Canis lupus familiaris: one gene and its partners. The protein of the gene in region 4 interacts with the protein of the main gene of each other region in a pairwise test. Links are inferred from orthologs where the notes say so. Each region holds a gene or a part of one and is shown on either strand. Other genes may lie near its edges.

Region 1 (4,068 bases), on a different chromosome or scaffold from region 4:
CGTCTAGAGCATCCAGATCTGCAATCAGCCCCGACAGCACACAAGATAAGTGCCTGCAAGTCTCATTATTGTTCACCCCCATCAGAAGTGCGATCAGAGTGCCTCTGGCCTTGTTCACCTCACACATCACCGAGTTGATCTTGGCCACTGAAGGGTGCGCGTCCTCGGAAAGTGGCAGAGAAGGCTGCTTTTTCACACAGTCTTCGATGATCTCCTGCACCGCACAGATTTTGGTTAAGGTGTGGTACCGTGCTTTCCGCAGAGAAATCTTCCCCCCGGTTTTGACATGTGTCAGCCTCAGAATGATATCCTGGATGCCTTCTTCAAATTCGTCAGTTACACAGTTGCCCCCACTATAAAACGGCACAATCTTCTCTTTCACCAGGGCCTGGGCTTCTTTAAAGATGTTCTGTATTTCGATCCGGTGTGGGTGGTTTGCATTCTGCTCCAGCTCTTTGAGAAGACGCTCCGTCTCCTGGGCTGCCCTCTTCCTCGCTTGCTGAATATCTCCTTTTCCTTCAGTATCCACAGAGTCTATTTCAAAGAGTTGTTTTGTTAGAATCCTCTCCAGTTTCTTGTAATTCTTGTCATCTGACAGACCACTGAAGCCAATTACTTGCTGTTCTATACTTTTTACTTCCTTTTGGATTTCCTGAAGCCTACTAATAGAAGGATGTTGGTTGCCCATATCCATACTTTTGTTGTGTTCCGTTTTACAAGCACTAAAAAATGACAAGAATGCCAAATTACACAAAGACTCTACAGACAGGTAAGCAAATATTGATTCATTCCGAAATTCTCATTTTAAGAAGAGGTATTTGAGGGACGCCCGGGTGACTGAGTGGTTTAGCACCGCCTTCAGCTCAGGGGGTGATCCCAGGGTCCTGGGATCGAGTCCCACATTGGGCTCCCTCCATGGAGCCTGCTTCTCCCTCTGCCTGTGTCTCTGCCTCTCTCTGGTGTCTCTTGTGAATAAATAAAATCTTAAAACAAAACAAAAACGGGCAGCCCCAAAGGTGCAGCAGTTTAGTGCTGCCTACAGCCCGGGGTGTGATCCTCGAGTCCTGGGATTGAGTCCCACATTGGGCTTCCTGAATGGAGCCTGCTTCTCCCTCTGCCTGTGTCTCTGCCCCCCTCTCTCTCTGTGTCTCTCACGAATAAATAAATATTAAATAAAATAAATTTTAAAAAAAGATGCATTTGAGTTTAGATCACACTAAGGCCCATCCTTAGTGTGATCTAAACAGCAGTCATACTCAAGTATGGAAAGAGTAATCCACTTTCTTGAAGATCACCTACACACCCCTGTGATTAGGAATGGACAGGGGTGGGATCCCTGGGTGGCGCAGCGGTTTGGCGCCTGCCTTTGGCCCAGGGCGCGATCCTGGAGACCCGGGATCAAATCCCACGTCGGGCTCCCGGTGAATGGAGCCTGCTTCTCCCTCTGCCTGTGTCTCTGCCTCTCTCTCTCTCTCTCTCTGTGGGACTATCATAAATAAATAGAAATTAAAAAAAAAAAAGGAATGGACAGGGGTTACTGCAGTGCAGAACGAGCTGGAGCCCTGGGCCTGATTTCCCAACTTCTTCGCCTGGGTCTCTACACGTGTGGCACGAGGTCAACTACTGGGGTGGAAACAGCACAAGGATCTCAGGTATTAACGCTGGACCCTGGTTGTTGGCAACAGCAGGGCACCCCTGTGGAACGTGCAACAGTTGCTCTTTTGACCTTCAAACGCTAACAGTGCCATCCCAGCACCCACCTGGCCCGAGAGCTATGCCTGCTTTCAAAACAAACTGGAGGGCACCCGGGGGCTCAGCAGTTTAGCATCTGCCTCGGCCCAGGGCGTGACCCTGGAGACCCGGGGTCCAGTCCCGCATCGGGCTCCCTGCGTGGAGCCTGCTTCTCCCTCCCTCTCTCTGTATCTCTCATGAATAGATGAATAAAATCTTAAAAAAAAAAAAAAAATAGAAAAAACAGAACAAAACCCGGAAGTCTAAGTGAAACAAACAGCAGCGGATCCCAGCGACCCCCAGGCCCCGCTTCTACTTCCTCCCCGCCGCTCGGGGCTCCTCCCCGGCCACCCTGTTTCCCCCGCCCCTCCGAGGACGTCGAAGACCCTCCGCGCGGAGGCGAAGATCCCCCAGGAAGGGAAGGTGACCGGCACCGTGTTAAAGGCACCAGCTTGGCCTCCGGAGGGCTGGTGCCTCCCTAGGCCCGTCGGCCCGCTCTCGGGGGAGGGAGGGCGGGCGGCCGGCGGGGCCCCGGCCTCCCCCCCTCGCCCTCCCCTGCCAGCACTTTACCCAGAGGAGGTCTACGCTGGTCTGGTCCTGGCTGCCCGCGGGGAGCTGGCGAGGTGGCAGGTCAGCCCTTTACGGGGTGCGGCACCGGAGCGGGGCCCCAGCTGCATCCCTCTCACCCCTGCCGGCTGGGTGTGCCCGGGCGGCCGGTGAGGGGGCCGGCGGTGGCGCGGCAGCTACTGGCCGCAGCCGCCGCTCCGGGCGTGTCGCCCGGGCCCCCGACGCGCCCGCCGGCCCTGACCTCACAATGGCCCGCGCGGGAGGGGGCGGCCGCGCTCGCAGGGCCTCCGAGCCCCCCGGGGAGCCGGGCCGCGTCGGACGCGGGCGGGGAGCGGCGCGGAGGCCGAGGCCCAGGCCCGGCGGGAGCGGGCGCGGGCGCGGGGGGCGGGGGGCGGGGGGCGCGCACGGGGAGGCCCGCGGCCCGCCAGCCGCCTAGCTGCGCTCACCTGTGCCGCCCGCGCCATCGCGCGCCCCGCCGCCGACGCGCAGGACTCCGCCGCGGTCGCCGTCGCCCGCCCCGCGGCCCCGCCCCGGGCCGAACAGCCCCCGCCCTGGGAAAACGTCCTGCGGCGCGCGCCGCCACCACCGCCCGGCACGGCAGCCCGGAGCTGGCCGCGGAGCCGCGGGGAAAGCGCACGGTCGGCCGCGCCGCTCGCTCCCGCTGGCTTTGCGACCGTGCCGTAAGGCAGCCCCTCGCGCCGGCGCGGCTCTGCCGTGCGTCGCGGCAGCCGGGGGACGCTGGGCATGGTGGGCTTCCGGGCCTCGAGGAGGGCGCTTCTGCCGCCGCTGTGCCGCGCCTTTGCTCGCCCCGGCTGTCCGCTCGGCCCCGAGCGCGGCGCGGAGCGCAGGGAGGCGGCGGCGAGCCGGGTAAGCTGGGGGTCCTGCAGGCGGCGCGCCGGGCTCCGCGCCCCGTCGAGGCCGGCCGCGGCGTCCGCCCAGCTCCCGGGCCGCGGGGGGGGGGGGGGGGGGGCCTCGGAGCCCGCGGCTGTGCTGGGGCCGCCGCGCCGGGGACTTCCCGAGCGGGGGCCTTGGGCTGCAGCGCTTGGCGCGCACGCGGGGTCTCGGCCCGCGCCGTGGCTCCGGGCGCTCTTCCGCCAGCGACCGCGCCCCCGAGCCTCGTGTCTTGCAGGGCCGCCGGGGCGTAGCTCTGGTTTGGAGAACTGCGCGCATAGGTGCGAGGCGCGGGTGGAAGGTTAGCGGGGGTACCTGTAGCAACGAAGAAGGACCGTTTTTAGGAATTGCACTTCTTAGGGGAAGGGTGTTTCGTCCACGGAGTGCCAGCTGTCACGTGGAAGCGTGGGGCTGCAGACGAAATATTTAAACGAAGCCTACGCACACAAACACGGAATTTGCCAACAGGCTAAGGGTGGAGGCTGGAAAGCCTGGGGTAAAAAAGCAGGACTTCCAAAATGTGCCTGCCTGTAAGTTTTCGTCTATGTTAGTCTTTTGCTGTTAGCATGCTTTTTATAAATGTAGTTTTGAAGTTCTGTTCAGTTTATAGTTTATTTTTATTTTTTTTTTTTAAGATTGTATTCATTTATTCATGAGACCCAGAGGGAGAGGCAGAGACACAGGCAGAGGGAGAAGCAGGCTCCATGCAGGGAGCCCGACGCGGGATCGATCCCAGGTCTCCAGGTCACGCCCCGGGCTGAAGGCAGGTGCTTAACGGCTGAGCCACCCCGGGCTGCCCTCTGTTTAGTTTATAGTTTGGACAAGAAGTTGGCGGGGCAGCTGGTCAACCCCCCCTCCCCGCCCCCACCTCTGGCCTAG
Region 2 (4,084 bases), on a different chromosome or scaffold from region 4:
GGAGGAGGCTATGCATGTGTCAGAGCAGAGGGTATATGGGAAATGTAAACATAAAATTGATATAAAAAAATAAAAGTCTTGGGGTGCCCAGGTGGCTTAGTTGGTCAAGCATCTGCCTTTGGCTCAGGTCATGACCTCTGGGTTCTGGGATGGAGCCCCACATTGAGCTCCCTGCTGGTCACTGCAAGAGAAGCCTGCTTCTCCTTTTTCCTCTGCTCCCTACCCTCCATGTTCTCTTACTCTCATAAATAAATAAATAAATAAATAAATAAATAAAATTTTAATAACAGTAAAGTCTTAAAAAAAAAGAAGGTAGTGAGGTGGAGGAGGGTTTCTATATCAGATTGCAAGGCTTAGTTTAAACTTACAGTGATTAAAACAATATATTAATGACTCCGGGGTATATAGAGACCAATGGAACAGAGTACAGAGCAAACAAACCTTTACACAGGAGCTTGGTATGTTACAGAAGTGACATTAAAAAGCAGTGGAGAATGGATGGGTTAGTCAAACAATGGAATTGTAAGGACAACTGGTTAACCATAAACAAAATTAGATTTCTGACACCACACCCACAAAAAATTCCACATGGATTAAGGACCCACGTGTGAAAAAAAAATCTTAAAACACTTACATCCTTCCTAGATTACAAGTTCCTTAAATTAGAATCTGTCTTGCGCAATTTTGTATTCAATCGTATTTAGGATATAGAAACACTGAGAAAATATTTATAATTGATCTCAGTATAGGGAAGGATTTCTTAACACAATATACAAAACAACACAAGAGGGACGCCTGGGTGGCTCAGTGGTTGAGCGTCTGCCTTTGGCCCAGGGCGTGATCCTGGAGACCCGGGATCGAGACCCACATCAGGCTCCCTACATGGAGCCTGCTTCTCCCTCTGCCTGTGTCTGTCTCTGCCTCTCTCTCTCTGTGTCTCTCATGAATAAATAAATAAAATCTTAAAAAAAAAAAAAAACACAAGCTATAAAAGATAAAATTGATAAATCCAAAAACACTAAAATTAAAAAGGCCTATGAAACAGAAAACTCCACAATTAAAGTGAAAAGACAAGACAAAGAACCAAAACAAAATAGGAAAAAGATATGAGAGATCTGGGATGTAGAAAAACTGTAGAAAATGGATAAATGACAGAAACAGCTAATTCTGAGAACACCTAGATAGCTGACAAATGCTTAGTCTCACTAGTAATCAGGGAAATGCAAATTAAAATAATGAGATATTTCATAATTCGATTGGACAAAATTTAAAAATCTGATACAACTAAGTGTGTGGATGAATATATGGGTAAATACAAACTCCTAATGCTCTTACAACCCACTGTGGAGAGCAACTGGAAATAGCTAGTTAGGTTGATGATGAACTTTTAGGAGTCTACCCTAGAGAAATTCTTACACAGTGCACTAAAGAGGCACATTTAAGAATGACAACTACAACAGGTGCCTGGTTAGCTCAGTTGGTGGAGCACATGACTCTTGATCTTGGGGTCATGAGTTTGATCCCCAAGGTGGGTGTCAAGATTACTTTAAAAAAAAAAAAAGGCCAATTACAGCACTGTTTATAATAGAAAAAACAACACAACTGTCCCCCAGGAAGGAATAAACTGGTTCATTTATACAATGGAATTTATAAGTAGTTGAATGAATTAGCTCTTTATATATCAAAGGATATTTCTCAAAAGCCACCTTGAATTTTAAAAAAAGGCAAGTTGCACAAGATTATGTACTGTTATGTTTAAAAAATAAAAAAAGAGCTCATATTATTTTCCAAAATCCTTCCTGAAAAAAAGGGACTCTTTAGTCTAACCCCTTCCAAACATGTTCCTTCTATCTGCACTGGAATTCTATTGATCCTTTAAGGATCGGTTTATATGCCATGTTCTTCAAGAAGCTTTCCTAGATTACCTCAATCTGAAAAGATCATTCCTTCTCTACACTTCCATATCGTTTGGTTTATATCACCTATGTGACAGGAATCACACTGCTTAGAATGTCTCTTTTTGCAGGTCTCACACCTACAAAATGAGTTTCTTTAGGTTAATTAAGGGCACTGCCTCACACAAGTGTGTATTCAACTTCATACAGTCACAGCGTTGGTTGAAAGGAATAAAAAGTTTAATAAGACACGGTTCCTGTCTCAAGGACGTTTGAGTTTATGATGCAGTAGAGGGAGACAGACACAGAAGAGTTACAGAAGCGGCACAGACTGCTACGGAAAACAAAAGAGGGACCGTATTCCGCACAACGCCTTGCAAAAGCAGGCATTTACTGTGTATACAGTCTAACTTAACAGTGGAGGCCAAAGGACGAGGGATGCTTGCTGTGAGAGCAGCCGCCGGGCGATATGGACAAGATGAGATGGAAGTGGGTATTTTCCCCCTTAGGCAACGCGACCGGGTGCGAGTTTGATGGGAAAAGTCGAGGATATTTGGGGGCAGCGTCTTAAGGGTCGGTAGGGTTGGGGTGGTCTGTTGCGGTAGGTTTGCAGTACGCTGGGAAAGGAAGAGGTAAAATCCGACTGGAAACCGGCTCAGCACCGTACCTTTCTCATTGCGAACCGGGACGGCCCCTGCCGTAGACTGAATGGGCGGTTGTTTCATGAGTGCGCTTGGGACCGACATGTTGATGGCAGCCGCAGCGATTCCCGAAACTTCAGTGATTCCAAACAGTGAACCGCAACAACGTCAACGACAAAAAAAAACCTCCTCTGGAAGCACTGGGCACGACCGCGCAACAGATAGAAACACCACCTACGTCTGAGATAGAAAAACCGGAAATATGCGACCAGAGGATTGTGGGATTGTGGGCGTGGACGCTGCTACTGCGCATGTTCCTCGGCTGCTCTAGCTTCCTCCGTCTCGCAGAGTTTGGACGTCGCTTCTGGCGGGAAATTGCTTCCCGTTGGCCTTTGCTGTTAAGATCCTGTGGCGAGGCAGGTCCGAATTACGGGTTTCTTTTGTTAGCTTTGTGTGAAGCTGAGGAAAATGAGATAGTGATGAATAAGGAATTGAGTGGATAGAGAAAGGCAGTTTGTCCAGACTCTTGAAAGCTCAGAATTGGAGTTTAATGAGAAGAGAAGTCCTGATAATAGCCCCTGATTAGCTCAGTTGATGAGGCTGAGTGGGTTGTGGTGAGGTATTTTTTTTCCTCACGTGAGGGCAGGTGTTGATGATTTACGCTATTGCCATGAAAAAAAGAAAAAAATCCCGTAAGGTGCCTGAAACAATGAATGCTTGGAGTCAGAACGGTGTGCTTTTAGGCTTTCCAGTTTTTTTCAGTTTCTCAACACCGTCTATTAAAACATTCCTGTGTAGACATGACTTTTTACATAAGTACATGAGTAATTATTAAGTACTTGCTGAGTTTGCTGTGCTTAGCTCTTTAAGGAGTATAGAATATTGCTTAAAGGCTTGAATTTTATTTAGGAAGTCTTCTAGGGCAATCAATTTACTAGCTGGATTTGTAAAAAAAAAAAAAATATATATATATATATATATATATATATATATTGGTTTATTGGAAGTCAGAAAGCATTTCACCACAGAAAGGATTTCCTAAGTGTTGTGATAGGGAGAGTTGGGGCAGCATGAACAAAGTCTTGAGGTCTACAAATAGCGCGGCATGTATCAAACACTGAAAAGTTTGATTTTGTTTGATTTTTGAGTCAAGGAGTGGTGAAAGTTTGGTGAGAACCAGATCATGGAGGGCCCTGATGTTACTGTTAATAGGATTAGTTCTCAAATCATTTCACCTATGTTGTAAAATTGGGTCTAGACTGGGAAAGAAAAGAAAATGGGGCAAGTCTTGAGCAAGGAACAGTGAAGGATCCATGTAACTGACCAAGGAAGCAGTTATGGGGTAGAAAGAAAAGGGTCTTAAAAATAGACTAGGTAGAAATTTATATTTTGAATTTAACAGCTCCAAAACCATGCTGTCCAGATGGAGTAAATATGAGAAAACGATTGTTTTGACTCACAGCAACTCAAAGAATAGGAAAAAAAAAAGTTAAATATGGCTGTGACTGTAAGAAATACAGGACACTAAAATCTTATTTGTTACTTTGT
Region 3 (3,511 bases), on a different chromosome or scaffold from region 4:
ATATCTCCTGTCCTGTGTCTGGATCACACTCCTCACAGCCTAGAGGAAACTGGCAAGAGCCACAGGCCCTGGAGTCTGACCTAAGTCTATCTTCCTAGAGACCCTGAGCCTCTGGAGGGGCCTCTGTGTCACAGATTCATGGAAAGCTGCGTCTCATAAACCTTCCTCCCAACCTTGGCATACTTGAAGGCCACAGCACTCTCCCACGAGTAGCCTTGGTTTGATGTAACAGTATCAAGGGAGCTGGGGATTGTAGTTTGAAAAAGACCCTAGACTGAAAATCACTATTCTAAAGGACCAACAAGATTTTATTTTTAGATAATTTGCTTTCTTCTTTTCTGAACACAACCCAAAGAAACTGCTAGGGAAAGCTAAAAGTGAGAATGTTAACACTCTGTCAACCACCCAACATTTAATGAGAACAGAACAAATGGAAGAGGGGGAGTAGCTGACAGAAGACTGCTCTAGTACCTCAGCAGCTCCAGAGGGAGATCCTCTACAGAGAATGTCAGAAAATGTCTTCCCCTCAAAAAATCTCATGTCAATATCCTAGAGAGCCACAATTATTCATGTGACAAGCACTTACTAATGTTTCTTATCTGCCCCAGCGCCAGAGCATCATTTCTCTAACACAGGATCTAGTATGTGAGCATTCTTTTCCTCTCCTCTGTAAAATCTGGCCTCACAGAGTTTACAAGGGATCAGTGGCTCATCAGTCTCGAGGCTTCACTCCTCCCACAGGAATACAGAACTAGAAGACGTTGTTGTCTCCTCTCTCCAGCCAGGGAGGCCTGGAGTGGGGCTGTTCTTGGTGGAATCAGCACCACAGACAGGCAGGTCTCCTCCCTGAATGTGTGATAAGAGCAACTCCTGTCCAGGAGGAAAACAGCCCTGCCACAGCATCCAAACTCTGACAATTATAGGCCTGCCAATCCTGGTTCCCAGACCCTAAGTTTGGTCCTTTTTAAAATTCCCATGCACTGGGGATTAAAGTAGCTTTCAACTGGCAAAGAAGGTTGGTATTTGAACTGAGAATTTTCTCTAAACCCCACACTGCAGACCAGTGAAGCTGCTTGCTGATGGCTCTGGCACGTGTTTCCCTAAATGAGGACTCAGAATCCCTGTCTCTGGAGAACACCCCAGAGCTGAACTTGCTGTGATAACCACGGAAACAGAGGCCAGTGCCAGGACCCCTCCAGGCCAGGGAGTTCAGCACACAGGCTCCAAGGATTACCAAAAAAGGCAGAGAGGCACCCTCTTTAGCCTTTGGAGGGAAAAATGGGATCTGACGTTATTTACTCTGCAGAATTAACTCTGTGTGAGGGGAGCCGGAGGTGAACTTAGGACACGGGTCTGCTTCCTTTTCCAGTGCTGCACAAAGCCATCTACCATGCTTGCACATAGGAGAAGAAACCCAGTCAGTGGGCTGGGTGAAGAAAGTACATGGGTGTCCAAAGGAGACAGAGACCTAGCACACTCCAGCTCAAACGGTGGCCTTGGTTAAATCGGGCCCCAAGTCACTGCTCCTCTCAGAAGGCATTCATGACACCTCAGCTAACAATTCCTAAGCTGTGGCTATCTTCACGCTGCTCTGGCACCACGCAGACATTTTGTCATGTATGGGCCACTGCTATGAACACATCACTGCTTCTCATGCCTCTGTGCTTTGTTTGTGCTGAAGCCTCTACTTGGAAAGCTCCACCCCTGGGAACCTTTAAGACTCAGTTTGAATGACGCTTCTTCCATGAAGCTTCCTACCTACCGTACCTCTGCCTGCCCAGGCCAAACTGACTGTCTGCTCTTCTACAGTGTCCTAAGATCCTGGTGTGGAACTTGTCACACTATCTACTTGCCTTTTTCCCTTCTCCACAGACTGAGAGCTGTGGGAGTTGAAATAGTGCCTTATGTATCTCTTCATCCCTGTGTGGAGCATTTCTATAAATGCTGATGGAGTGAGAAGTGAGAGGAAGAGCAATGGGACTCTGCCAGAATCAAGGGACTCCTGAGAGGTAAAAGATCTGGGAGGGTTCAAACTGGCCACAAAATCTATAAGCAACAGCTGTCAGAAAAGTGAAAAACATTTTGGTAGAAGTAGAACAGGTTCAAGCACACTTCTTGCTTAGCACCTGTTTCCCCTGGCTCTGCAACAGGGTTGCTACTTCTGCTCTGGCTGACTAGCCGAGGGCCAGTTTCACACTACAGCGCTTGCACATTAGCATCACATTCCTCGTCCCACTCAAAGTAGCTGACATCCATTGAAGGGCTAGGAAGCAGTGGACAGAAGATCTACTACTAGCAGTGTGGCTTTTAGGCCTTCAGTTTCTCTAGACTTAGAGAAAGGTACATTCAAAGCCACATACAAATATGGGCTACCAATGGTCAGGCAGTGGGAAGCACCTGTAAGGGCAGTGAGCTTCTGGGCTGAACATCTTCTCTGTTTGGCATTTATGTGTAGCCAACTGACATCATAGCACTTTGGCTTTGATGCTTTCCCAGGAGGTAGTGCTGTACTCAACTATTTGGGACTGAGCATTATAATCAGATCTACCCTGCTTCTGTGCATTCTCATCCCTGGCTAATAACCAATCCTTCCTCCTAGCCATTACTTTATTTGTGCCTTGCCCCAGGACACATCTTTTGCCACAAGGACATTCAAGTCTGGGGGCAGGGAGGTGGGGGAGGCGGTGGCTCTGCAACCCTCTACACAGCAAGATCCAAGGGTGATGAGATCACTTGGTTGAATAAGTGGATATTCACCATAGAAACATGATTTATTAGGGGAATACACCCACACATTCCCCAATCTCTTCATCCAAATTCTCCTCAACCAGCAGACTAATTGGTAAACATATCAGGATCCCCAAAGATTAGATTTAGCTCTCTCGTTTAACATTATGTCCAATTTGTGTAATTAAGCTATGACTTCCTATAAAACTTTTATATGTGTTCTCATCAAGTATTTTCCAATTTGTCAATCTCTGACTTGTTCATCTCTTATTGATAACTGATTGTGTACCCAGCCCAAGGTTTTTGCCAACACCTGGAGAGCAACTAAACTGTTTTGCACAACAGCACCATCTAGTGGTCAGTCTAACAAACTGTGTGACCTTGTGTTTTCTACCCACATCCATACCCAAGGTACATACACACTTTATAAGTCTCTCCCTTCCCTGCATGTTCAAATATGCAAATCCATTCTCTCTCAATTCTTTCTCACATGTTCATTACCTTTAACTCTCTTTACTTTTCCCATTTCTTACTCCTCTTCTTTAGCTTAAGAATCATTCATCTGACTCTTCCCCAACGAAAAAAAATCTTAAGTTTGTCAGTCTTCTGTTGAGGGGACTCACCTTGTTCATACCCACTCACCTTTTCGTTCCCTAATGAGGACAATTCGTCGGTCTTTCACTTCTGAGCTCAGATTATCTACCATCTTATTAATGCAATTGTCCAGAACCAGGGAGTGGGTTTTGGACTTGATGTCCTTCCGACAAATGGGGCATTCTACCTT
Region 4 (3,774 bases):
TTAGACCAAAGTTGCCAACTTATTTTACCAGTGAGCAAGAATCAAAAACAAAACAAAAACAAAAACAAACAAAAACCACCATCATTTCCAAAAAAGTGCTTTAGGCAAAACACAAACATTAAAAAAACAATTTCAGAATAAAAGTCTTTGCCAAAAAATGGTAGTGAGCAACTCAGCCCACTAAAAAAACAAAAAATATTTGAACATTCAGCAAATGAATGCATAAAAACACAGGAGCATTTCTCTTACCAAATGTTGCCTGGGGCTCCTCAGGGCTCCCAGGGCCACATGACACCACTGGCTCTGTCACAGGCCATTACCAAAGACTGGCTCCAGCTGCACAAGCAGGGGACTGCTGCCTGATGTGGCGGCAGTGCACAGTGGCAGGGGCCAGGCTGCAGACAGCACCTCCTCCTCACATGGACCCAGTGACCCCTGCCCCCATGAGACTGACCCTACAACTCTGTGGAACCTCAAGTCCTCCAGGAGACCTTCATGGTCAATAGTAAGCGTTTCTAAGAACGTGAAATGAGGGACTCCTGGGTGGCTCAGTGGTTGAGTGCCTGCCTTCAGCTCAGTTCGTGATCCCGGAGTCCTGAGATCGAGTCCCACATCTCCCTCTGCCTATGTCTCTGCCTCTCTCGTGAATAAATACTTAAAAGAAAAAAAAGTGAAATGAAGTAAGACTTCTTATAGGAAAACTGTAAAAGCCACATCATGGCAGACTGAGGCCAAAATCTGCAAATGGGTCCCCAAAATCAGAGACCATGACACACCCAATCTTTCTCTTTACCTGGAGAGCCCTCCGCACACAGAGCACTCACCTGGACTACTTGCAACTGGAAAAGGAACTGTCAAGGGCACACATGTTCCACCCGAGACCCCTTCACGCTACACGGCACTCACCTGCATGCTCTGTTGGTACTGCATCTGCAGAGAACCTTGGGCAGGGGTGGAAGCATCCAGTCCAGATCCTGCCTCCACCCGCTGGGAAATGAAGTTGTTCAGAGACCTCAGGGTGGACAGCACAGTGGTGTTTTCCATCAGGTCATCCATGGCCACTTTGCTTCTGGAGGAAAACAGGGAGGGGTGACGGTGAGCCTTTGCAGGCACCATTAGCTCTACCAGAGGTCTAGGCAGGGGCACTTCTGGGTGGCCCCACTCTCCCAATGCTCCCTCAGAATCCTGACAATACTCCAGTGTCACAGCCACATTTTTGAAGTTAATTGGCAGTGTGGACTCATCTGGAAAGTACGGTCACGAGGGTCACTTTGCACAGTTGTTGTGAGGATGACAGCATCCATCATAAGTTGGATGGGGGGGTGCCTGGTGCCATAGTTCATCACTCTGCCTATAACATCACACAGGACATCTCAGGCCACACAACAGGAGATGAGGTCTTTCTACACATATTTCACACACCATGAAAGCGAGGCTTCAGAAAGTTACAGAACAGGCCAGAAGCCAGATCTGTGTGGCTCTAAAGTCCGGTGTGCTCCATAAGCCAGGGCACAGAGGGCAGAGCACAAGCACCCCCCGGGCATTGGTTAGGCATCTGCCTTCTGCTCAGGTCTTGATCCCAGGGTTCTGGAATGGAGCCTTGCAGGGTGGGCTCCCTCCTCAGCGGGGAGTCTGCTTCTCCCTCTGCCCCTCCCTGCCTTGTCCTCTCTCTCTTGCTCTCTAATAAATAATTAAAATATTTTTAAAAAAAGAAAAGAAAAGAAAAGAAAACCAACTCCAAACCTGCATCCCCAAACCTGTGCTGACGGTGGCCTCACACCTGCCAACCAGTGTGTAGGAAGCATCTCAGGTGCAGTTAACAAGCAAAGGCACCTCTTAGGTAAAAGGCCAGCTCACCGGGACTTCTCTGAGCGTTAGATTGAAAACACCTCCCCACGTTCCCCCCAGAGGAGGAAAGAAAGTGAGGAATCTTAGTTTGACTCTGAATTTCCGTTTGGGGAGAACCTTGGCCCTATGCACACAGAGCCCTCCTCTGTAGGCCATGTTTTCACCCCAGACAACACAGCTGTCCTCTCGACCTCGCAATCACACTGCATGTGGAAACCTGGAGTAGAAGGCGGAACAGGACATGCAAGCACAGAGTGCTGAGGGCCGCGGCAGATGCAGGCCCGAGCTGCACTGGACAGCAGAGGTCCACTCTAGAAAGCAAACCCTTCCGAACGGGGCCATACTCTCCGACCGGTGATGGGAAGTCAAGCTGGGAAGTCCTGGTCCGGAGAGGCGCCCCTGTAAGAGCTGATGCGTGTAACTCCCCCCGGAACGAAGAGCGCACACGCTTTCAACCGCCTGGAACTAAGGCGCTGCACTGGGGATGCGCTTAGGCAGTCCTCAAACTCCGTCCTCTTTACCCGAGAGACTCCAATCCTCAACCCAACCGCGGAAACCCAAGCGCTGCAAATCACACCCCTGGGCTGCCCTTCCTGGCCTGGGCACTACTCGGGGCGGGGGGGCCCTGCCGCCCCGCTGCAAACCCCGGCTCCCAGGCGGCTCTGCCGGACCCCAGGCGCCCGGTGGGGTCTGCCCGGTCCCGCCCCACGGCCCCGCTCTGACCCCGCTCCGACCCGGGCCACGCTACGACCCCTGGCCCCCTATGACCCCGCTCGGACCTCGACCTCGACCTCGACCTCGACCCCGGCCCCGCCCTGACCCCGCTCCGACCCCCGCTCCGACCCCCGCTCCGACCCCGCTCCGCACCGCCGCCGCCGAAGCCGGCTCGAGCTCCGGTCTGGATCCGAGGGAACGAGCACGGCGGGGAGAGACCAGCGGGCAGGGGGCCGGGCCCGCCTCGGATATCCGCCCACCGGCGACCCCGGCGCCCGGCCACTCACCTCAGCCCCAGCCCCGGCAGCTCGCCGCCGCTGCCGCTCAGATCTCCCTCCTCGGCGTCCGAGCCCGCGTATCGCGAGACGTGCCGCCGCGCTCTCGCGAGACCTGGGCGGCCGACCGTGAAGCCCCGGGCCCGAGCGCCGCCCGGGTCCTGCAGCTCCGCGTGCGCCCCAGAGCCGCCCGCCCCGGGACACCGCACTCGGACTCTCACCAGAGGCCGGCCCGCGGGTCTGTGGGGGGGCCCGCCTCCCGCAACGGGACGGACCTCCACTGGGGCAGTCGCTCGCGCTGTATTGTGCGGAGTAGCACCGCCCAACGGTGGCCTCCTCGGGCCAAACTTTCCTGTTCTTGACAACTCCCAAAATTCTACTACAGCGTGTGTTAGCTTGAATTAGTACGTCTTTCCTTTCCTCGGGATCACTGGAAAAGCAAAATACTCGGCTATCCTCCCAGGGCCCCGTGAGCTCAGACGGCCTGAGACCCTCATCCAGTAACGGGGCTCTCACTCCCTTCCGAACCTCCTCCTCCCTGAACCCCCGCGCCCCGCCTGAGCAGTCGGTCTGGAGGGTCTGCACTGTGCCCCGAAGGTTTGCACACACTGCCCCCCACTCAGGGTCTGGAGGGCCTGCACACACCACCCACCCAGTCTGCAGGGTCTGCACATACACCCACACCCGGAGTCTGGAGGGCCTGCATATACGCACACCCAAGGGTCTACAGGGTCTGCACATAGGCCCACACCCAGAGTCTGGAGGGCCTGCATATATGCACACCCAAGGGTCTGGAGGGTCTGCACACACCACCCACCCACAGCCTAGAGGGTCTGTGCACAACACTCACCCACAGTCTGGAGGGTCTGCACATATCCCTCCTCCCAGGGTCTGAAGGCCCTTCCCCACGTCAACCACCCACCTCGGGTCTGGAGGG
Region 5 (4,149 bases), on a different chromosome or scaffold from region 4:
AGAGCAACAACGGGTTAAGGGTCGCTGTGCTTTATTAGACGCATATGCGACATGGAGCTTTTAACTGAGCTGTGATCATTGTGACATATGTTAACAAGGTGTAATACAGGCTTCATCGCCAGGCCCAACATTTCAGTAAATCCGTTCCTAACACATTACCCACATTATTTGCATCTCTTACTCGGCATTTGTCCTTCACAGAGAAAGATGCTACTAATATTGATCGGCTGGATAGGAAGTTTGGCTTATGCTTCCTGCCCACTAGATGGTGGAGAGCCAAGTTATACCCATCCAGGCCCCAGGGAAGGAATTTGTTAGCCACACAGCCTGTGACAGTAAAACAGACCGAGGTTACTTAACCCAGAGGGAGAAACAAGGACCAGACCTCATTGGCAGAAGTAACAAGAGAAAATGAAAAGATTATTACTGTTATTCTTTAAAAAAGTCACAACTCATAAGGTTTAGAACTCCTTAAAGGTTGAAAAAAAGTGAGGAAAATTCTAGCACTTGTTATTATTTATTAATCAGTTGGGATATTTTGGGACAGGTACAGATTATGTGCCTGGTACTAGGTTGAGTACTACATGGAAAAGTATTTATTCTTAACAATCTGGACACGGGTTTATTATTTAACTGTATTGGCTAAACAGAGCCAAGAGCTACTATGACCTTAGTTTCTATCAGCAAACAGGACTCTTTTGATCTTGTTTCTTTTTTTCACCATCAGGTGACAAATTTCCTAGACATGCAAAAATTCTGGCTGCTTAAAGCTTTCTTGGCAATCGCAGGAGGAACAGAGCATCATCACCCTGCCAGCGGTTAGAGTTGAAGCACTCGAGGTACTTACCCTGAATGGCTGGTCTGGGATGAATGGAAAGTAAGGGATTGCAGACTGTTCTTCACCTCTTTCGCCAGATATACAAGAATTTCTGAGTAACTGCCGGTCTGTGAACACAGCTTTGAGTTCAATGGCCACATCGGCGGGAGGGTCTTCTGAGTCACCGCAGGTCAGGCTGATCGCGAAGCTGAAAAGAAAATCATCTCATTTATTCTGAGTCCACTATCAGCAACCCAGGCTCCCAGAGTTCCTCCTCCTTCTTGGGGTTTGTCTGCTTTGAATGGGCCACTATTCTTTACACAGCAGATTAGACTATGCATGGAGAAAGAGGATTACAATCAAGCCGGGGATTTTAATACCTAAAGGAGGCTCTGGTAACAACTTTGGTGGAGTTGAACATGGCTAACATTAGGGATTTCAGAAAGCCAAAACCACCGACACATGTGTGTCTTAACCCATTTCAGAATTCTCAAAAAACAGCCCCAGAAATTGACCAGGGGAGATAATATCTTGTAATGTTTGCTTGTCATTTGTACTGATAGATCTCGCTCCAAGCACCATGTTTAAAAACCCTTAAGAAAAAATTGTTTGGCCTCTCTAAGGGTCAAAGAGAAAATGATGTGGGCCTATATTTATCATCTCTGATATAAATAGCTGTCTGGAGAAATGATGGCTGGGATTCATACACATTCTTTTCATGGGAACATGGTACTTTCTTGGCACTTCCAACTAGCAACACTGGCCACAGGGACAGGAGGAGGAGGAGCAATAAGCCACAACAAGAGTGGGCAGGGCCTTGTAACTGCCAGATAATAAGCCTTGGGGTGACAAGGACCATCTTACCTCTCTGGGTTGAGGTCTACGATGCCCATCACCAACACCTTCTTGCCCGGTCTCATGCCACCTTTAATGTGCCCACAAAATGGAACTATCTGCAAAGGATGACAGGAGACACAGGACGTTTACAGCCTGTCCGGCAAGAGCCAAGTCCTCAGATCCCCAGGACCTGACCCGCTAGAAAATGCAATTAGAAAGGAAAAGCGGGCAGGCGGAGAAGAGCACAGAACTCAATCACTTACCAGTCGTGGGAAGTACACGTCGGCTTGAACTGGAGAGCCCAAGGAGTTGTTTAAATGCCCATCATCCAGTTTCTAAAAATAGAAGCACACAGATTGGCTTTCCAAAGGCTCTAGTTGTTGTTTTTTTTTTTTTGGGGGGGGGGGGTGTCGGGAGGAGCAGGGGAGGGAGTGGAGCAGCACCTATACGAATCCGGCTGAATCCAGCAGCCCGCACAGGGCACAGGCAGCGTCTGCAGAAGCCGCCACCTCCCAGCCCCGGGACGAACCCCGTCCTGTCCCCCGAGGCCGGTGGCCGAGCTTCTGCAGCTCCCCAGCCCTGCGGATCTAGACCAAGCTCCAGGTGGAGGCGCGCCGGGCGGGGGGCGGGGGGGGGGGGAGGCCAGGCCCCTCCTCGACCGCAGACGCGCCCAGGCCCGGCCTGCAGGACGCCGCGGGGGTGCCGGGCCGCGCTCAACTTCCTCGGGGCCCCCCACCCCCGGCCCCAGCCGCTCCCCGCGGGGAATCCCCGGGACGCCGGCCGCGGGGCGCGCGCCCCGGGCACACTCACTCACACTCGCGCACACGCACACGTGCCCCGGGCACACACCTGGCCGCCGGCCCGCCCCCCCCGCCCCCCCTCCGCTGCACCCCGGGCGCCCCGCCTGCAGCCCCCCGCCCCCCGCCAACAGGTCCCCGGCGCCTTCCCACGCGGGGGCGCGGGGCTGGGCCTCGGCCTCTCGGGCACGGCCGGGCGGCGGGGCCCCGCTGCACCCTGCCCCGCGCTCACCCCCGCCGCATCGCTGTCGGCCACCGATCCCGCCATCTTCCTGCACCGCGGCGCCCGGGGGTGCGCGGCTGGCGGCGGCGGCGGGGACGTGGGACGCGGCGCGCGGGCGGGATCCCGGGGCGGTGCTGCGCCGCGCGGGGGCGCGGGTCCGAGGCTGGCGGGGCGCGCACACACACGGGGGCGCGCGCGCACGCCTGGGGCCCGGCGCCGGCCGGCGGGCAGGGAGGGCCGGGGGAGGGGAGCGGGGGTGCGGGGGTGCAGGGGAGGTGCAGGGGTGCAGGGGAGGTGCAGGGGGGTGCAGGGAGGTGCAGAGGTGCAGGGGTGCAGGGGAGGTGCAGGGGGGTGCAGGGGAGGTGCAGGGGGTGCAGGGGAGGTGCAGGGGAGGTGCAGGGGGGCGCGCCCGCCGGGTCGCAGGTGGCCGCCGCTGCCCGGGCCCGGCTCCGAGTCGCGGCCGCTTCCTTCCTCGGGTGCTGCTGTCGCCTCCCGAGGGGGGAAGGTGGCGCGGGCCGCGTCGCGCTGGCCCAGGGCGGCATTTAAAGGGAACAGGGCGGGGACCCGGCCGGGCCGCCGCGGCTCGCTCGGCCCGCCCTGCCCCTCGGCCGCCGGGAGGTGGCGGCGGGCGGGGGGGAGGGGCGGGCCCGGCCGTCGGGGGTGCGGCGGGGCGGGGGCCCGGGGCTGTGGGGTGGCAGGTGCCGTGACCCCTTCGCCCCCCGCCGCCGGCCCCTGGTGGGGGGGGGGGGGCTGCCGGAGCGCCCGGTGCCTTTCAGAAGAAGTCCAGCCCGGCGGAGGAGAAGATCCTTTGGGCCTTCTAGGCGGAAAGCTAATGACAGGACTCCAGGCTTGTGGAAATAAATATTTGGCCCGAAAGCAGGAGGCTGAGAGGACTCGTGGTAGGGACTTTTTCAAATGCCAGGGGGCTAGGGGGCCTGGCTCTGTCCCCCGAGTGGAACTGCCCAAGCGCATCCCTAGCGCTGCCCCCAGCCCCTGACACCTGCTGGGTGTGAGGTCATTAATTTCTCGCTGGAAAACTCTTTGTATGGTTTGCGGAGTAATTCCTCGGGTACACCCCTTTTATTCCGAGGCACGAATTCCTCTTTGGCCTTTCCGCACTAGGATGATTACGTAACTTCTCAGATAAAGCTGTATCAACATACCCTCTATTAAGTGACATCTTGGCTTAAACATTCCATTGTGTGAATCACCAGGGTGTTTTACACTAATAAGCAGGGAGCATGTGTGGCGGTCCCAGAGGAGCCCTCGGAGGCTCCCTTCCAGCCAGTGCTGTGGCCTGTGTGGCCTGGAACATCACTGCGGCTTTTGTGTCTTTTGCCCTCCCTTTATGGACCAGAGCTAATCTGGTCATCTCAGTCCAGGAGGGATGATTACCTGCACACGTCTGTATGCACACGCCGGCTCCTTTGTGTGCTCTGAATTAGAGACCCAAGTGCAACACAGTTGTGGTTCAC

Evidence for each region.
Region 1: the proteins of MAD1L1 (region 4) and BAG5 interact in binary tests that used the Homo sapiens proteins (3 or more experiments, as listed by UniProt). The two-hybrid records come from large-scale screens. The link is inferred for Canis lupus familiaris from reciprocal best matches to the Homo sapiens genes MAD1L1 and BAG5.
Region 2: the proteins of MAD1L1 (region 4) and MFAP1 interact in binary tests that used the Homo sapiens proteins (3 or more experiments, as listed by UniProt). The two-hybrid records come from large-scale screens. The link is inferred for Canis lupus familiaris from reciprocal best matches to the Homo sapiens genes MAD1L1 and MFAP1.
Region 3: the proteins of MAD1L1 (region 4) and RNF8 interact in binary tests that used the Homo sapiens proteins (3 or more experiments, as listed by UniProt). The two-hybrid records come from large-scale screens. The link is inferred for Canis lupus familiaris from reciprocal best matches to the Homo sapiens genes MAD1L1 and RNF8.
Region 5: the proteins of MAD1L1 (region 4) and LGALSL interact in binary tests that used the Homo sapiens proteins (3 or more experiments, as listed by UniProt). The two-hybrid records come from large-scale screens. The link is inferred for Canis lupus familiaris from reciprocal best matches to the Homo sapiens genes MAD1L1 and LGALSL.

The regions. Positions count from the first base shown.
Region 1 is NC_049229.1:71,725,860-71,729,927, forward strand, and holds the start of BAG5 (BAG family molecular chaperone regulator 5), read right to left. Parts: upstream 2,801-4,068; 5' UTR 2,745-2,800; intron 2,463-2,744; exon of another isoform or gene 2,302-2,462; intron 723-2,301; 5' UTR 695-722; coding exon 1-694. Other genes in the region: COA8 (cytochrome c oxidase assembly factor 8), read left to right, coding at 3,043-3,165. UniProt on the Homo sapiens protein: Co-chaperone for HSP/HSP70 proteins. It functions as a nucleotide-exchange factor promoting the release of ADP from HSP70, thereby activating HSP70-mediated protein refolding.
Region 2 is NC_049251.1:10,844,026-10,848,109, forward strand, and holds the start of MFAP1 (microfibrillar-associated protein 1), read right to left. Parts: upstream 2,806-4,084; 5' UTR 2,642-2,805; coding exon 2,563-2,641; intron 1-2,562. UniProt on the Homo sapiens protein: Involved in pre-mRNA splicing as a component of the spliceosome.
Region 3 is NC_049233.1:6,590,091-6,593,601, reverse strand, and holds part of RNF8 (E3 ubiquitin-protein ligase RNF8), read right to left. Parts: coding exon 3,370-3,511; intron 1-3,369. UniProt on the Homo sapiens protein: E3 ubiquitin-protein ligase that plays a key role in DNA damage signaling via 2 distinct roles: by mediating the 'Lys-63'-linked ubiquitination of histones H2A and H2AX and promoting the recruitment of DNA repair proteins at double-strand breaks (DSBs) sites, and by catalyzing 'Lys-48'-linked ubiquitination to remove target proteins from DNA damage sites.
Region 4 is NC_049227.1:15,032,401-15,036,174, reverse strand, and holds the start of MAD1L1 (mitotic spindle assembly checkpoint protein MAD1), read right to left. Parts: upstream 2,333-3,774; intron 1,070-2,332; 5' UTR 1,057-1,069; coding exon 907-1,056; intron 1-906. Other genes in the region: proline-rich protein 2-like, read left to right, coding at 2,333-3,199. UniProt on the Homo sapiens protein: Component of the spindle-assembly checkpoint that prevents the onset of anaphase until all chromosomes are properly aligned at the metaphase plate.
Region 5 is NC_049231.1:65,334,955-65,339,103, reverse strand, and holds the start of LGALSL (galectin-related protein), read right to left. Parts: upstream 2,806-4,149; 5' UTR 2,720-2,805; coding exon 2,684-2,719; intron 1,990-2,683; coding exon 1,918-1,989; intron 1,771-1,917; coding exon 1,682-1,770; intron 1,026-1,681; coding exon 848-1,025; intron 1-847. UniProt on the Homo sapiens protein: Does not bind lactose, and may not bind carbohydrates.